Drosophila melanogaster: one gene and its partners. The protein of the gene in region 3 interacts with the protein of the main gene of each other region in a pairwise test. Each region holds a gene or a part of one and is shown on either strand. Other genes may lie near its edges. The genes, in order: Alh, Atf3 and CLIP-190.

What was found.
Region 1: the proteins of CLIP-190 (region 3) and Alh interact in a two-hybrid assay, tested with the Drosophila melanogaster proteins (one large-scale study listed by BioGRID).
Region 2: the proteins of CLIP-190 (region 3) and Atf3 interact in a two-hybrid assay, tested with the Drosophila melanogaster proteins (one large-scale study listed by BioGRID).

Annotation. Positions count from the first base shown.
Region 1 is NT_033777.3:7,120,185-7,126,534, forward strand, and holds the start of Alh (alhambra), read right to left. Parts: upstream 4,002-6,350; 5' UTR 3,755-4,001; coding exon 3,720-3,754; intron 3,555-3,719; exon of another isoform or gene 3,456-3,554; intron 1,570-3,455; coding exon 1,091-1,569; intron 955-1,090; coding exon 758-954; intron 699-757; coding exon 1-698. Other genes in the region: CG10098 (uncharacterized protein), read left to right, coding at 4,476-4,622, 4,691-4,878, 5,235-5,961.
Region 2 is NC_004354.4:1,271,447-1,277,650, forward strand, and holds the start of Atf3 (activating transcription factor 3), read right to left. Parts: upstream 3,839-6,204; 5' UTR 2,980-3,838; intron 1-2,979. UniProt on the Drosophila melanogaster protein: Transcription factor which binds to the cAMP response element (CRE).
Region 3 is NT_033779.5:17,382,242-17,388,528, forward strand, and holds the start of CLIP-190 (cytoplasmic linker protein 190), read left to right. Parts: upstream 1-2,773; 5' UTR 2,774-3,254; intron 3,255-3,319; 5' UTR 3,320-3,389; coding exon 3,390-3,654; intron 3,655-3,904; exon of another isoform or gene 3,905-4,088; coding exon of another isoform or gene 4,089-4,152; intron 4,153-6,287. Other genes in the region: Lrch (Leucine-rich-repeats and calponin homology domain protein), read right to left, coding at 1,229-1,541. UniProt on the Drosophila melanogaster protein: Together CLIP-190 and jar may coordinate the interaction between the actin and microtubule cytoskeleton. May link endocytic vesicles to microtubules. May play a role in formation of furrows during cellularization.

The DNA of each region.
Region 1 (6,350 bases), on a different chromosome or scaffold from region 3:
GCTGAATTGGTAGAGCTATCTTTTCCATCCTTGTCCTTGCTGGATGTGGATTTGCTTAAGCTTTTGCTATGTTTCTCCTTGTAGCTGTTGCTACTACTGCTCGAACTGCTGGCCGATGATTTGGTGGTTCCTGGTGCTGTTGACGATTGACTGCTTGTCGATTGCGTAGCACCACCGCTCGAAGCTGATATAATTCCCCCACTTCCACCAGGCACGTTTCCAGCACTGCTGGTGGACGAACTGCCTCCGGGCAGATTATTGTTTAAACTATTGCTAATGTTGCCGATGTTGCTACTCCCTGGTAGTACACTTCCTCCTCCTGTCATATTGCTAGCACTTCCCGAATGCACAGAACTCGAGGAGGGGTTGGGAGCCCCTCCTGTTGAGGATGACGAGCTACTGCTACTGCTGCTAGATGATTTACTTGATGCATTGCTCTTGCGCTGCTTTGCGGAAGATGATACGCCACTCCCACTGCTGCTTCCAGCAGAGATTCCAGCACTGGAGCTTGCATTCAAAACATTGCTGCTGCCACCAGCACTGCCACTGCTGCTGGTAATCTTTATGATTGTGGCCGAAGTTGTCGCGGAGTTCATGGTTGAATCGATCTCCTTCTCGGGCGACGAACACGAATCGGAAGAGGTGTCATGTTGAATGGGTTTATATGGAGGTATTGTTTTGACGTTGCCGCCCTTTTTCTGCAAAGTATCAAGAATTTGAACGGAAAAATCACGAATGCTATCCCTCACATACGCACCAGTTTGCTGTAATGGTGCTGACAGTAGCCGCAGTACTTCACATTATCCAGATAGTTACCAGCCTCCTCGCAGAGCAATCCAAGGCTCTGGGCGCAGGTGACGTGGAACTGCTGCTTGCAATTCGATTTGTTGCACTGCATACAGGCGCCAACATTGGCACGATTTGGTTTGCCAATTTCCTGGCAAATATAGCAAGCTGAAAATGGAAACGGATTGTAATTAATTATTGCCATTTAGCTAAGGCTAGTTTAACAAACAGGGGTTATAATTTTTCAATGAGTAACATTTTTTAAATAATATATGTAAATATAAAACATTTAAACATAGCTTACTCTTCGAGTACCGCTCCTGCGGTATTAATGACAATATGATGGGCTCCATGGTGGTCACATTCCCAAATCGCACCTCTGGGATGTACAGGGCGCAAACAACGTGCGCCCACCCGCTATTATCCGTCTTCTTAAGGGCGCCATCCCGCGAGGGACATAGTTCGCATCGGACGCGAGAGGTTCGCTCCTGGGACTCGCACTTGCGACAGTACCAGGGTCCAGTGGGAACCGTCACAATGCCATAGCACGCCTGGTGCACTGCCACAGTACAGTTCTGGCCGTCACAGTAGACGAGCGGGTTCTCCGGCCACCCCCGCTCGTCTGAACAAACGCAACAGCCGCCCACCATCTCCTTCATATCGTCCAACTTGAACTTTTTAATCTTGACCAGCTTCTTGTTCAAGCTTGTGGAGTGAATGGTGTCGTCTTTGCTGGAGTCTAGCTCCAGTTTCGCATTGAATGAAGACGGAATTTTGTTGGAGCTGCAAGTATATATATATATATATATATATATATATATATATATATATATATATATATATATAATATAAGAATTTTCCTTAAGTAAAAAGAGGATTTTTAAAACTCAATATATTTGGGTCCAATTAACGTTACCAGAGGAGCGTTGAAAGTTGAGCGAAAAGTTGAACATACATAAGTATGATGCACTTACGAATCTTCTGAATTTTATTTGTAATAGTATTTCTAATAAAAACAACGACTTTTTACCAAATTTGTATGGAATTAGCAGTAAAATTTATAAGAAATTTATTTGTTCAGCTTTCCTTATCAAGAAAATAAGCATGCTCTTTACTTTTTTCTTTCACATTTTTGTAATAATTTAAAGAACGTAGAGTCTATATAAAACATTTTTTATCAGAGCTCCGCTCCACCCCGCTCGAAGTCGACGATCTTGAGATAGAGGTTCCGGCCTTTCTCGTTATCGATAATATGCTGCTATCGAGGCAGGTGTCTATTGGCAAGGTCATTCGCACTCGGTTTTTCCACAATAACATCAACAAAAACAGTAGCCCTATAAAATATTATACCTAATTGTGCGCTTGTATTTACAACTTGGCCTTCGAAGCGAGAGCGAGAGAGATGGCACATGGAGCCCCGTTCGCAGAACATTTACACGCACACACAAATAATCTCTCAATGTCAAGGTAATTTTGCCGCTGCTTAATAATACATGCTAATTATGTATGTCGAATCATTTAAATAAAGACGGCCGAAAATATAAACAGCTATGCCACCGAATATTGATAGGAGGTTTTAGCACAGCAATACGAACAACAAATATTTTTAACTTTCACAAAACGGGCAACGCACACACAAACACTCTCTTCTGCGGCATTCCGTGGGCTGGTGTTGGTTCATTGAACCTGATTTAAATGGGCTACCAAAAATAAAACAGGAAAATGCAGCCCTGCCCCGAATCCAATTGGATGTCGATTTGGTCCCAATGTGCGATCGAACGCAAATATGTGGGTCGCGGAGATTTCACAACAACAACGGCAATTATTATAATAATAATAATAACGGCATGCGGGTGCTGTTTCTGTTTCATTCATGCATGCGCATCTGTGCGAGAGATCGCGGCGGAGGAGAGTGCGGGTCTAGTTGTACCGTTATTGGGTCAGCGTGTTGCCAACTGCCGAAAAAGAAAAACGCAGCCAGCGTGTTGCCAACAGCGGGTTAGCTGGAGTTCTCTAACTTAACGGTGTAAAATCACACACACTTGGCCATATGAAACGAGGCCGCTCTGCACGTTGCTTTTGTAATGAAGAGCAATGCACTTTCGACACAAGCAAACACACACTGTCGTCAGGCAGAACAGATACATACACACGCACGCGGGGAGATGCTACATTAATGTTGACGAAATGCCGGAAAAGGGGGCGCGCTTTTGGGGGGTGGAATACGGGTGGGTGTGTGTACATGTATATATGTACCCCATTTAAAACATCCTTCGGGGGAGTTTTTGGGGACTGGAGGGTAGTTTCTCCCAGTTTCCGCAACTCGTCTCTTAAAGCACTGCTTAAATTTCCTTCAAATTGTGTGTATACCCGTGGCTTGAATTTATTGATTTTTATGGGCAATTGCTTTAATTTCACTGGCCAGCAGGGCTTTAAAACGTCATCAGCGGTGTGCCACCAAACAAAAAGAAACTAGTTTCACGGCGGGGAAAATGCGCGCGGTCAAAGTCGTCAAGCAACGCACAACAAAAACAGAAAATATCTATTTTTTTCAGGGAGCGGTCTATCGAAAACTTGAAATTCTTTCGACTTTCTTGCTATTTTCACGCAGAGGTTTCTTATTGGCCGCTAGCACCCTCACAGAATATTGATTTTCTAAATTTCTTTACCCAATTTGGCACTTTAAATAAATGGTTTCCAGCCCGCAGCTGTGGGTTAGCGTTTATCTAGCTTTTCGTGGCTTTTCTCAGCACTTTTCCGCGTCTCACAGTCTTCACAGCCGCCCACGAGTAGCAAACGCACGCAAGTAAAATAATCAACACTCAAAAAAGGCGCTGAACAACACCATCCACCAGCGCAACAACAACACTGTGTGCGCGAGTATTTACAACTACAGCTACAACAACACCAGCAGCACACACCACTCCACACACCTTGTAACTTGTTTGTTGTTGTTTCGCTCGCACATCGGGAGCGAGCAGTGCGGGCGCGAGAGGGAGACAACACCACCTGCTCTGTATACAAATGCAGCTTAGTGGATACAATTTTGCTGGATGCGCGGTTTTTCCAATTGCCCGAATATCGCGAAAAGCTTGCAATTCCGAGACGTTCCGCGTTTTCCTTCTATGCAGACAGGTTTTTGAGCATTTTAACGCCGAAACAAGAAAAACCTCGGTTACCAGACGAATGGGCAGATTTCTAGCGATGGGTACTTTATCAGAGAAGGGTAAAATGCTTAGAGATGGGATGCGACTTGTCTGCATTTTTCCAGATTCAAAGGAAAACCCGATATTCATTATAACTTCCCTCTCTTATTCAATGCTGCTAATTATGGTGTAAATGAAGGTTGTAATTTAAGTAAATCGAATTCTTATTGGTGTTGGATCATAGTATTGTCAACATTAATGCTCGTCATTTAAATAATGGAGATGTATAAGGAAATATTTTATATATAGAACACTAAAATACCTAATCCTTATAGTTCTTTTAGAATTCTCCATACTAAACAAATAAATAACGTCCGATGTTGCCAGACGAGTCAACGGCTCATCGCCACGGTTCATTTCCACGATATATATTGGGCAGTGTTGAATAACGTTTGAACCTTAAACAGCTGTGGGAAAAATCAATTTTGCAACTCCCTCGCGCACTTCTGAAGAAACTTCTTCGCGAGAAAAGCACGGATAAAAATGACCAACGGTGACTGCTTTGTTGTTCTGCCCGAGAACTGTGCCGAAGGAACTTTGATCATCGGTCGCAATGCGGAGGACGAAAAAAACGTCAACGTTGCTTCGGAGGTTTGCTTCTACGATGCCACCGAAGTGCTTGAGGGGAAGGTAAAGACAGACTCCTCCGAAAACGAAGCTCGATCAATGACTCACCACCCAAACACCTCACATTTCAGACTGACGGTGGAGCTTCTGCCGAGACAGGCGGCGATATGTTGCGTGTTATATTGCAAAAACCGCAGCCGGGTCTCTGGGGTGGGGACTTCGGGGCCAATGAACGCGGAGTGGCCCTAGGTCTTACCTGGGCGGCAGGTGAAAACGAGGCCAAGGACAGCGACAGCCTGCTGGGCACGGATATAGTGCGGTAAGTTCTCTTTCAATATCTGCGTATCAACAAACTATGCACAACAAAGCAAATTATTTGCACTTAATATAAATAACTTTCATCACTAAAAATGTATGTACATATGAAGTCTATATAATGCAGAACGTAAATACTTATTCAAAGGATGACATTTTGTGGCTGATGTTTGTAATTAGCATTCCAATCCTTTCGTGTCCTTTAGGGCTTATTAATGCTTGAAGATACTATTATTTCAACATTATTTCATAAGTTAATTAAAAACGAATCAATCAGAAATTTAATGTTGTCGAGAAACTAAGGCTTTTACAATTATTATAAATCATGAAATAATAAATCATCTAATAACTTTTTTGTAGCTTGACTTTGGCTGTCGCCAAAGATGTGGACGATGCTGTAGACCGGATTGGAGCTTTGGTGGCCAGTCACGGTCACGACAACTCCAAACTAAACTTCATCGCTTGCGATGCAGCTGCTGCCTGGCTTGTGAGTTGCTCTGGCAAGGTATGGGCCGCTGAGAAATTGGAGGCCAGCTTCTTGCGTTTGCCCTCCGGAGGACTGGCTGTGACCACTGTGGTGAACAAGTCAAGCGAGGGATTAGATGACGCTGCCAGTTTTGCCGCTGCTCACGATGCAGAGGCCCAGGCCCCGGCAGTGGATTGGTGTGGTCCCAAGCCAGCTGGCGATGGAACATATACCCAGCACGACATGTTCGAGACGCTGCGATCCGCCAGTAATGCGAGCAGCTCGAGGGCGGCTACCGTTTCGGTGCTGTCGGTGAAGGGAATCTCATGCCATTGGTTCACCGGGACGCCCAATGCCGCCGAGTCTGTGTTTAAGCCGTTCGTTTTTGCCCCAAATCCGAGGATCTCGCCGCTAACCCAAGTGCAAGCGGAAGCGGACTTGACGTTGCTGCACAAGCTACACTCGCAACGCAAGCCGGCCGCCTTGGAGCACTTGCGCAGCTTGGAGCTCTCCTGCGTGGACGAGCTAAATAACTATTTCTCTCTGCAGGATCACGCCAGTGACGAGCTGGACGAACTGCTCAAGGACTGTGTCGAGGCGGAAGTCAAGTTCTATCGCTAGACCAACGAATACTATCTATATGGATACTCCAAAAACTAGCTTGCAAGCTCTATTGAGCATCGGGATTTGACTTGAGCATTCTTATGGCATTACCAAATAGGCTTTAGTCGTCAAAATATTTTCTTGTGCAATCTCTACTGATTTTATTTCGTTTAGTTTTTATGCTTTTGCGTGATATTTAAATTATTATTTATTCTGTCTCAGTGGGCAATCTCCGACTTGAATTTAAAGTATTATTGTGTGACATTCCAGGCTTAGTTTAACGATTTACATACTTGCATTCAAATATATATGAATACATATACAAATATACATTATATATGGCTCTCAAATAAACGCATAAAATCTGCATTTATACAAAAATTAAAAGGGCTTGTCGTATTTGGATA
Region 2 (6,204 bases), on a different chromosome or scaffold from region 3:
GGTTGGGGCGCGGTTGAAGGGGCCAAGGAGAGGTTAGGGCAAAGGCTATACGCAAACATTTTTGGGAAAATTGGTAAATCCTTGGAATAATCGGCCCCAACTTTCCCAACGAAAGCTGTTCTGGATAGTGAAACTTGGATTGCTGATGATAGATACTCTTAACAATACGATCTTCTTATCTTAGAATCTTCGAACTCGAATCTGTGAAATAGTCTCTAACTCTAGTTATTCTAGTATTTTCTCTCTTTACTCTCCTGCTGCTTCTTTTTCGGTATCATTTGAAAAGAATTGTTATTTGTGAAGCTTTTACGGCTTCGCATTTTGGACTGTCGACAAGTTGACAAATGGCAAACCGGTTTGGCTTTTGGCCAAGCTCTAACTCCCATGCCCATCCGCTCCCATCCATCCCTCTCTCCCCAAAAGCAACTAACACTTATTTGGAACGAAGTAAATATATAAATAAATGTATAAATACTCGTTAGCAAATCAAAATGCATACGAAATTTCAACAAATATCCAAACGGGCGAAGAAAGCGCGTAGGCGAGCCGGCATCGAATCGGGAATTATATTGGGAATTGCGATTGAAAACGGGAATCGCAGCGAGGGCTAGACTCTAAGTGCGAGCATCAATTGGCTAATCAATTTGCCCAAAAGTGAATTGAACAAATTAAGCTGATTGCCAGTCGAATGCGACGAATGCGGGCCTCGCTGGTTACCACCCTTCATCCGACGATTACACGCCGGCATTTTCAGTTGCGTTCGGTTGGCTTGGGGCTACTGCGCATAGAACAACTACCTGATAGTTTCATGTACTTGGGAACAACTGGGAACAGTGCACCTGTGGAGCTGTCTGAACATCCTTATAGCAGCGTATGGAAGGGGGAATGGTCCACCTAGATTCCACCGGGTTCCATGGGGGCTTACTTGTTGATGCCATTCCCACACCTCCGTCCCTCATCAGTGCATGTTTGCTATATAGCATATATGTACATACATATAGTATTGGTCAAATCTGATGAAATGTTTACATTTGCCGCTTGCATTGCGCACTGCCAAACGAGGGGGACTCGAGGGGGTTCTCGTATTTGTATTTGCTTGCGGTGACAATTTTCATTGCTTTGGGAGCACACATGTGCTTGCATTCATACGTTTTTGTGGAAATTATTCACGAAAACGCCTGACAGTTTTGTGTCGCTCGCCGCAACTTTTGACAGCTACCTCCGCTCGCATCGAATGGATTTTGTATTCGTATTCGGGGATGGCAGCGACTGACTTGACTAGCTGAAAATTGGGATTGGGATGGCATGGATGGTACATATGTATATGCTATATGGTTGGCTGCTCGGCGGCTCCGTTTCGTTGGCTGGCAAGGCCATAAACTAAGCCCAACTCCCAGACTTCCAGCTTCAGTCCGGGGTTCATTAATGCGCACTATGTGCTTAAAACGCCATTTGGGCGTTAGCCGACTGTCTTTCCAGCTGTCTCTCTTTTGTGAACAGAAGTGGATCTCAGACACTCGGAAAAATGGCTCAAGGGCCAGAAGAAAACTGTGCATTCTTTTAGCTCTAAATGTGTTTAATTAAAAAACAAAATGCCTAATAACTTATTTCATCATTGTATGAAGTGAATACAAGATGAATACAATTAACAATAATAATACAAGGCCCATTGATTTTTTTTCAGTGATCACACATGTCCCAAACATCTTGGTTCTGTTTTTCTTTCATTTTTTTTTTCTTTTTTGGAACATTAGACCCCTCCCAGCCAGTTCCTCCTCCCCCTTTGACAGTTACTGTATCTACTGCGTCTTCGACTGTCGGCTGTTGTAGCGAACTGCCAACAATGGGCATCATTCATCGCTCATTCACTGGCACTCGCTCCGTGGCTCTGTGACTCTGTGGCACAGAGCGTGCACATTGTACGCACTGTACATGGGGCAGTCCTTTGGCACAACCCCCCATATCCAACGAGGGGGTTGCCCCAGACTGGGGTGTGGCATATTCCGCAATTCTATGGCATAAATTTGCTGGCGATAAAATGCGCAACTGGCAACACGATTTGGGATAAGTCCTTCGGATTGCGAGGCCAGAATTCCAAAGGGGTGGCGACTAGTCCGCCAGTACACCACTTGGCAGGGTGGGGCAGTAATGGCCGGGGTTGAACATAAAAAAAAACATTTATTAATGAATGCATCATGCAAGGGAGGGCGGCAAAATATTTCGCCAAATTGTCCATAAATCCAATTGGCGATGGCTGTATCTGTATCTATAGCATTTGGCTATCTGCGACTGCCTGTGCACGTGTGCGAATCTGTGTGCGCCTGCAGCACAGCAGCTGATTAATAAAAGCCAGCGAACGGATGAAAGAGGGAAAACACCTGTTAGCCCCAGTGCCTGTGTGCCTTCTTCGGTGAAATTGCTTGCACATTTTGTATTTAGCATTTGGATATTTGATTGAATATGTTTCACACTTTACCCACGCCTTATCTGGTCTACTAAAATGGGAAATAAAAACTCATGTCTGTGCTATCTATCATTCATTACAAACTAACATCTTCGGAGTTCAATCAATGAGTTGTCTTTTAGTGTGGTTATTAAGAAATGAATGATTCTACGCGCAACGAATACCTCGCTCGTATTTACTTTCATTATCAATAGAGCCAATGAATCGGTGAAATGCGAAATCCAAAACGATATGTGGGTACTTGAGTTGAGTATTCCCGACGAATGTATTCAGGTTCGTGGGGATTTCAATGGGTGTTACGTCTTCGCGAACTCCACCCTGACCAGCAAGGGACCTTTGGTCACTGTTCCCTCAATCGGGGAAACTTTTCTAGTCACGAGAGATGGCAATATCGTTTGGGGGATCGAAGACCTTGTTTGCTTGCGGTCAGTTTGCGATAGTGTGCGCAAATGTGTGAGGAAAGTCACGTACTTGGGGCAGGGTCGAGGTGGATAATTTAGGGTTCAGTGTCTCACCTGCTGGAAAATCTCTCTCTCGCTCCAAGAGCAGTTCTGCCCATCTGATTGTCGCTGGTGCGTTTCGTTGGCCTTTCGGCAGGCGGACACCTGTTTGGGCCTCCCTTGCTATCAGTTTTGAATGGGGTCTTTGCGAAAAGGGTGGGGGGACTTGTAACACTTGGTTTTGTACCACTAAAGCGTGATGCTTTTGCAAGGCATTTTGGTAGTTGTTGTTGTTGTTGTCGTTTAAAGCACTTAATGGGTTCAACACTTCAAAAAAATATTATTAAATCTCTTAGATTTTAAGGCGATATTAATTATATGTATTACTATGTACGTTTTTCTTCAATATCGCATTTAACACTTGCGTATCGCGGATTTTTTTTGGGGGGCTTAGTTTGTATTTTTAAGGGGGATTTTGTATTTTCGATTTGTGTTTTTGGTTTGTGTATTTCAGTTTTTAGTTTCCGCTGCGCATTTGTAGCGATTCAGAGTTGCTCACACGATGAATCCAACACGTTGAATAAAAGTTCGAGCGACGTTCAAATTCGCTTAAAGCCAATAAGTCAGCCAGCGGCAGCGACGTCGGCAGAGGAGCGACTGCGCCACAGTGCGATTCTAACGGCGCGAGAACGAAGAAACGGATGGCAACTGAAACGGCCAAAGGCGCGGCCGACCGACCGACCGTCGATGTGCTGTGCTTGTGCTTGTTGTTTGTGTTCTAAGTCGGAGCCGCCATAAAATCTAATAAGAACGGCAGTGCCAGTGTCAGTGGATGTGGATGTGGCTGTGCCTGTGAAACGGGGTGGAGCGGAAAAGGGTGGGTTGGTGGAGCGTCGGCTCGCTGTGGCGGCGTTGCGTTCGAGTCCGGTTGACGCGAAGCACTGCCAACCGACCGACGCGCCGTTTTGACGGCCCGACGGACCGGCGGAACGATTGGCAACGGGCTGCGGCAAACAAATAAACAAACGCACCACAAACATTGCCCAGGGGCGTTGTTACATCCACATGGTGAATGCTCAAGGGGGTATGGCCACGATATAAACTGATATATGTACACATTGCAACTACGATGAAATATTACTCAACAATTATACAGTTAAGATGAGTTATCCCTTACATCTGCAAGATACATTTGGATTGGACACCGACATCCGCCCAGCGTTCATAGATTCCACAGCAAGTGTACTAAATGTAAAACCCCTCATTATCGGACGCAACTGACTTTTGGAAGTGGAAACGGAACAGTAGCGTAGATATCCGAAAATTGAACGCGTATGTGTGCGAGTGCGAGTGTTTGGCTGCTCTACACTAGTCGGCTTTTGTCTGGAAGCAGAGCCGAAAGCAAAAGCCACAAAGCTTCGGCCAAGAAGGCAGAAGAATTTGGGTAGGTGGGGAAATTTGCGAAGCAACGACTACTTATCAAATGGTACATTTTGCCTTTGAGCCGGCGCATTGAGCAGGGAATCTTGTGACCGACCAGCCACTAAACACTAACCACCTCCCACGCCACCCATTTCACTGTCACTTGCGGAACGTTTGGAATCGGAATCGCTGTGCACACTCATGCACACTAGCATTTCAAATGCAGCGACGTCGACAGCGGCGCCGTGACCTTGAAAATGCTTATGTTCAGTCCTTCGCTCACTCTCTTTGGAGCTTAGAAGGCATGCGCAACCGACTGAGTTGCACGATCTGAAAACTGAGCTTGGCTTACACGATCGAAATAAATTTAAGGAGGCCTATAGCCACACATTTGTTAACATACTCGTATGTAATTGTTGCATAAAAGTCCACAGCTCATGGACTGTGATAAGGAAGCCACCGTTATCCGTTATCGGCTATCGGTTATCAGCTAACGGTGCATGAAAAGGTGGCAAAAGACAGACGTGACTAGCTCAACTTGGCCAAAAGGAAGAAGTGGAAGGGGTTGCAAGAAGGTGTAAGGCCATTTCTTAATATCCAATCGCCTTTGCAATGGAAATGTCCGATTGAGATTTAAGCACCGGCAAAAAACGCCGGCTACAATAGCACACGAAAACAATAACAAATGCTCAAGCTGCTGGCGAGAGAGAGAGAGAGAGAGGAAAAGAGAGAGTCCGATGGTGAGAGAGAGGGCACTGCCAACCGGCTGTGTTTATGTTTCATGTCATTCCGTTCCGTTCCTCACTCACTTTGTTTGTCCCACTCACGTTTCCACGCGACCGCCGAAAGAGCGGCGAAAAGCGAAAGCTTCGTGGCGCTTCGTGTGGACTCGTCCGCCTTCGGCCCCCTGAATGTACAGTGTGTTCTAAAAATAGAGCCTGACTCGCATCATACGCGGACCCCATTCGCCGACGATCTCGTCACCTGCTCGCCGATTGGCCAGCGGGCTCCAATAAAGCCAAAAGCAACAATAGCAAAAGCAATAGCAATAGCCACAACAGCTTTGAGAAAATACGAGTGTTGGAAGCAACACAGAAAAGTTCTATCTCGCCGTCGTCGCTGTTGGCATCTAATAGCGAATTTATAAAGGAATAAAATGAGCATTAAAAAGTGCCAAACGGCGCGGGCGAGCACATGGACGTCGGGTTGGTATTGCGGGGGTACTGGCAGGCATTGGGGTTCGGGCTCGCAACGGTGGTGCGGTGGCATATGGAAATTGATGCAGCATCTGCGCCGTCCGAAGCGTGCCAAAAATTGCCCCAATGAAAGTGCCTGGCGGAGCACAGTGGAGTTCGATCCAATAGGACTCTCTTTCGTGACCGAGCAAAACTAGGCATTAATAGCTTGTCCTTGAAATTTCCATAAAAGCGAACACATTCATAAATTTTACATTTGTTTCTACCAAGCCCATCCACACTGCTGCTAGTCACTTGCGCGCCATAGTACCCACCGGCCTCCGAGTGGACCGCACTTGTATGTACGTCCATACATATACATGCATATGTAGCTTTCCCACACCGAGTGGGCACAGCGAAGATTACAAGCGACGTTTCTGTGGCCGCTGTGCGCCTGTTCGCACCTCGCAACTGCAGTGGGAGAAGCTCAGCCATGTGCGTGTGTGGGTGTGCAGTCGGGCTTGGGGTTGGGGTTAGGTTCCCCGCTCATCCAACTCTCCCTGGACGACAATTTGAGTTGTCAGTTGTTGCTGCACTCGCATTTACAGCCAAAGCTTTGCCTTAATGAATTACTGAATTGTGTTATGTAAGGGAACAAGGAACGGGCCTTCTCGGGGAATCGACCCGGGTAACACCCAGTACA
Region 3 (6,287 bases):
TCTCTTCCACGGCAATTAATCTTCGCAGTCCAAAAATAAAAAGTTTCCTTCTATTCCAGACATTTCCACCGAAAATACATCAAAATACAGTGCGTCCTCTGAAAGGTGACATTCCACGTTCATAATAAGTCTTAAAATTAATAATAACATCTCATAGTTGGAATTTACTTTGTGTAAGTAATTAAAAGAAATAAACTAAAATAATTTTGTAGTTTATAATCTGTCTCGTTTCAATGAACATAATCTTCGATCTGTGAAGTATTGTTAGATGGAAAATTGCCATATCTCGCTTTTTCAGCGATTAGAATGACAACTAACCTTATCTACGTATCCTTTCGCCTTTCAGAGCGTTTACTGTATGTGTATACAACAAACACAAGTGAAAATCGATGAGAGACATGTCCCGTTGTGAGAACATCTGTTCGAGGGTAGCAGCAGCTGTGAGAGGGGGCGGGGTCCTGCGAGAGGGCGGTGAATTTTCTGGGTGGGTATTTCCCATTTACTATTTCTCCGCTGGTGCATATTTTTTGGTCCTAACAAAAACGAAAGTTGGTTGAACTTCGACAAAATTTTCGTGCCGGCTGCGGCGAAAATAAAAATAAATAAGGATAACACGAATAGTGCAAAGTGGCGAAGAGCGAATAACGGCGGTAATTATTGTCCTTGAGCGCAGTCCGAAAAGGGAGAGAATGGGAGAGCCGCAGAGAGAAAGAGCAGCTGATGGGAGGACAGAAAAGGAGGAAAAGGATGAACCTCCGACGGCTGCTGCAAATTATTGATTTTCAAGCAACAAAAGGAAAATTCGCCACTGCAATGGAGATGGAAAAACTTCGTTAGCTCACCGGCAACAAACCTCCTTTGCTTAAATGCCGCACCCTAAAGGTATACACATACGCCAAACATTTTCGATAAGCAACTAATTTAATTGCTTTATCAGTACTTGTACATATGTAAACTCTACTTTTACTTTTTCTGACGTCAAAAGAAAACTTTATAACTAACAATTTTCTAATCAACTTTAATACCATTTAACTTTGTAATATAAAAATGTATGCTTTTTCCAATAAAATGTTATTAACTTCGTACATTAAGTATTATTAAGAACAGTTTAAACTTTACTTAGGAAGTAATGAAAACCCAATTTTTTCCGGAGCTACGAAACCGGCTTGAAGAACACCTTTTCTTTGTTCTCCCTTACGAATATACACTATACAATAGCGGTACGCACCTGCGATGACAGTGTCGGTAAGTGAGTACTTCGTTCCAGTCCTGGGAAAGTCCTTCAGCTTGCGATTGGTCAGGATCAGTTCGCCGCTGAAGTGCGCTTCTTCCAGGATTCTTTCCAGGGAGCGCGTCAGCTGGGAATGACTAAGCAGGGCAGACGAGGTGGAGGAGGAGGTGTTTCCAGCGTGGCCTATTCCAGATCCCGATCCTGTTCCAGATCCTGGAAGGGAAGCCGACCCGCTGCCGATGGCGCTGCCAGCGGCGCTGCCGACGCCGACTGCGACGCTATGTAGGCGTTGGTAAACCGTTGCTGCCATTTCCCGTGTAGGCGTGGCGACACTTCCACACACTTGCACACACACACGCACGCGCTAAACTATCACACCGATAAGGAAACGGAGTGAAGTGCCGAAAGAAACCGAAACTGGAAACTAAATTTGCTCTATTGAAACGCACGCATCTCGATTATTTTTCATTTAGTGTACGTCTTCTTGGCTCATTGATAAGATTTCTCGGAATTGGATTTTCCTTTTGCGGCTTCCTTCTTGCTTCCTCTTCTTTGCCTCCTCGCACACACGCGCACTCACACACGCACAAGCTCACGCAGCAGACGAGCGACAGTGCACAACGAAAATCGAAAAACAACTGAATCGGTTTATGGGATGCTACTTGGGCAGCGCTGGAAACGTTGCTGTTAGTTTAAAATCGGCGTGCCTTTGAGTACTATCGATAAAATACCACAGTGCGCCGATGATACACTGGCTCCATTTTTATCGCAATTCGAAATGTCAACAATCTTACATTTTATAATGTAATGTAATGTTTGTTTATTCAGAATGATCTACCGTTTAGCATTTGCCCCTTCAAATTTAGGGCATTATTAGATTACTGAGTCGTTATTACACCGAAACATTTCATATAACTACTTAAAGAAAAAATGAACAAATGACCAGGTAACCTGGTATTGGAACCCGGCAATAAACTGGTTGAATATTAAAAAACCATGTTAGACTAAATTATAAATTCGTTAATTTGTCAGTTGTGTGGGCTCAGATCACAAATCTGAATAAGCTCAGCGACGCTTCCATTATTGGTGACATAATTTCATATTTTACATATTTATATTCACGAATAAATATTCGCCAATTTCCTACAGGGTGTTTTTGTATGACCGCATTACTCTAAAAATACCTCGGGAAAATATAGCCGCAACTATCGATTGGCGCGCTGCACTGGAGCTGTGCTACCATCGCTAACTCAGTGCAACAACAAAATTCCAACGCAACGCCAACTAAGTGCAAAAAAAATCTAAAATTTGTGTAAAATTGTAAAATCCCAATCGCGTATATTTCTAAATCGTATTCGCACAGCACAGTATGTAAAGCACTCCAGTTTATTTAAGTACTGTGTGTGTGTGCGGTAAACACACACCAATAAGAGTGCGTTTTCGCGTCCCTTTTCCCACCCTCTTCTAATGGTTCCCTCTTCTATAACTGTGTCAAATCAGCAGCAACAATAAAATATAGAACAGAGCTACAGCGTGCGTGTGTGTGTGTGTGAAATGCACAAATTGATAAGCAATTTGATTCAATTTAATCTTGTTTAAGTCTGATGAATATCAGCGCAAGCAGCCCAACACAAAATTATAAATAAAAAGTTACGAATTTATATAAATAGAATACCCTTGAGTGATTTTGTTAGTCGCATAAAATTAATTCAATACATATTTGTGTTCCGCATTTTTTGAAAATATAACGAAGTTCTGGCCAACGAGAGCAACAACAAAAAGCGGTCTTGTTTGTTTTTCAAGCTCAACGAAAAAAAGAAGAAAAGAAATCTGCTCTCAGTCAGCTGTTTTAAAGCAGCCGCCTAAGTGCGAGTGAGATAGCTGCCTGCGCGCCAAAATAAAGCAACAACAAAAGTGGAACAGTGGTTCAAAACCTAGCTAAAAATAAAAAAAATCCATTTATTTTTGTAGCAAAAATATAAAATAAAAGCAAATTAAGCGAATTATACATATATTTGTTAAGGTAAGTGATCAGCATTCCATTTATTTTACCAAAAATTATTCTTTTGCACTTGTTTTTCCCCCAAGTTTTTTAAATCGTTTACTTTTAATACGCGTGTGTCCTAATAAGTGAAGATTATTAAGAATAAAGTAAAAAATGAGTGATGATACGAGCGCTTCGGGCGGGACAAGTGCCCCTTTTCCATCGCCAGTTACTGCGGACCCGGAACCAGGAGCCACTGCCTCCAAATTACCGGGTCCCATCAGATCCAATATTCCCACGCCCGCTACTTCTGGTACCGGAATCCCGCAGCCCAGCAAAATGAAGGCACCATCTAGTTTTGGATCGACGGGTTCTGTTTCCAAAATCGGAAGACCGTGCTGCAATCACACAACTCCCAAATCCGGTCCACCACCAAGAGGTAAGTCTAATCGCATTGTGCAACAACGCAAACCAGTTAGTATTATTGCTCAAAGCAAATATGTTACTAAGAGCAGTATTTTTGAAAGTAGTTAAAGGTCTTAATTATCCCCTGGGTTTAATTATCATCCATTTTACAAGCTAGAATTTAAAGCAAGATGAAATTAAAACACATCTGAACACCAATGGGAATTCAACCAGAGCCCCTTTGAAAATCTTGTCAGTGCATTGTCACATACATATTAACATCTTAACAAAGAACATTAATTTCACAATTCAAGAAAAGGGGTTTTTACCGATTTCCACTTTTATACGCGAGTTCTTCACTTATAAAACAGTTGGAAGAAGTCTGATAATTGAATTGCTCTCCGGAAAATATCGCAGTAAAATATGTTTCAATAGTATAGCCCACCACTATACTATCACCAAGTACTCATGAAGGTTAATATTAAAAAATGTACCCACATTCAAATGGGAAAACAGAAACCCAAAAAGAATGGTGAGTTTAAATAATGCACTTTTAAGTTTGACATTGTAAAGGGGTCATTTCATCAAGTTTACTTACTCTCTACCCTCAATACCCGAGATTTGACTACTTTTGTGTTTGCATCTTTGGCTCAAGCAAGTCAAGCATCCGCCTACATATATATATGTGCACCCACAAGATGTAGATTGCTGTATACTATAAGCGAATGCAATGATCTAATGGAAACGATGACAGACCCACTCACTTGCTAAATATATACATACATATACGCTGACCCCACCCCATTTGAGTGCACTTTTTGCACTACATTGAACTTGCAATTATTTCGGCGAGAACTCGCGTAGTTAGTGTAAATTCTTCTCTAAAGAGAAACCATTAATAATTCCCAGCGTCAACTGTTTCGTTTGGTAAACAAATGCTTCACTTCTTTCAATTATTTAATCGTTTTGAAACACCAACGCACAATTCAAAAATAAACAAAACAAATTGCCGCCCACTCTTAACTCTCGATCATAATTATAGAGCTGCCCCGAAAAGTGTTTTTGGTAAGGAGAATTATGGCCAATTAGGCAAGTGCTGCTACCATTTAATTGATCCGCCCAATGTGGCTCATTTCAGGCACGTAACCGCACCGCAGTCGTCAACATACGACGACCCACTGGCCCATATAGCAAACGATCTGCCAAACGATCCATGGATCGATTGACGGGTTTTCTATTTCGCCGGCACACACGTTCCATATCCGATTGACAGTCGCAATGCAACCGCAAAATCGTAGAAATTTATTCCCTGTAAATTTACCCAAAAACACAAAAATTTGTAATGTTTAGGGTTACAGAAAAAACTGAGTCACGAGGTGTATTTAATTTGCATCCATAGAAATAGTTTACACGGCGCTATGTGCACTGTGATCATTTAGATTATCACTTTGTATTAGATTGGTTTTGTAACTAGTTTGTTTGCCCATTTATACATTATTTTTAAAATCGTTTATTGGTCGTTTATTGCACATAATTATTAAACCTATTTCAGAAATTAAGCTGTTTGCTTGGCTCAATGAAAGTCCAGTTTGTTTTGATAGCTCCGAATTTTTTGCTTTAGTACATTTAAATTTCTACGCTGATTTGTTTCAAATACGCCAGTGTTGATCGCCATATCAAAGAGATTATTCCGCATTTTGCCAATTATTAACGAAAACGAAGTGATATACCGCATGTCCCAAATAGTTGAACTACTTTAGTCAATTAGTAGTTTATGCGACGCGCTGCTTAAAACCAAATCCGTTCCAAGCGCCTGAGCGCCTTGATCCGCTGCCCAGATCAGCTTTCTAAAATCTCTCCTAGCATTCTGGAACGGACTGTTTGACTATCTGCCAAGAGACCCGTCATTTGGCCCGCCATACTCAATGCCAAAAGTCTGCGAAAATCTACTCAGCTCAAATGCGACCGAGAAAACCTGGCGACCGGCCGGCAATCTATCTCTACGTCGTCGTTCCCTAATTGAATTTGTTCTGGCGATGACACAGAAAACGTACTCAAAACGTATCTTCTAGCTTGTTCGTGAGCTCAGATCTTTTGAGGTGTTTTTGCGCTGCGCATTTGATGCCGGGTTCCGTTCTCAGTCGATCTGATATGAAAATTGCGGTCGTGGTGCTCGTGGATGAGCTTATGTCACTTTTATTGGTTTCGATCGGAAACAAAAGTGAAGTGAGCCTCTCTCCCACCCATAAAAACGGAAAGCTCATTTGTCTTCGCATTAAGATTGAATCGAAAACGCGTTCGGGATTGACGTCCAATGGATGAGCATCGTCTGGCGGGGGATTACTCCATTCGATTCTAGATTGAGCCCAGTTCTGTTTACATCACCGACTCCGTGGGAGAGTCAATATTGATGTTATGATTAACCACTTTTTGTCTCACTTATTTGACTTCACATCATTAAGTCGTTGAAATCTTTATAATTGAAGACACGTGTTGCATATTTAAGCTGAAAACGTCTCGGGTTTCAGCCAACAGAAAACAGTATCTTCTCTTAAAAGGAATATATATACATATTCGATTTGATAAGTTATGTATTTGTTATAGTTTAGAAAATTTTATTAAATACGTGTTTCAATATTTCAATGCGCTTTTTTGTGCATTGTCTTA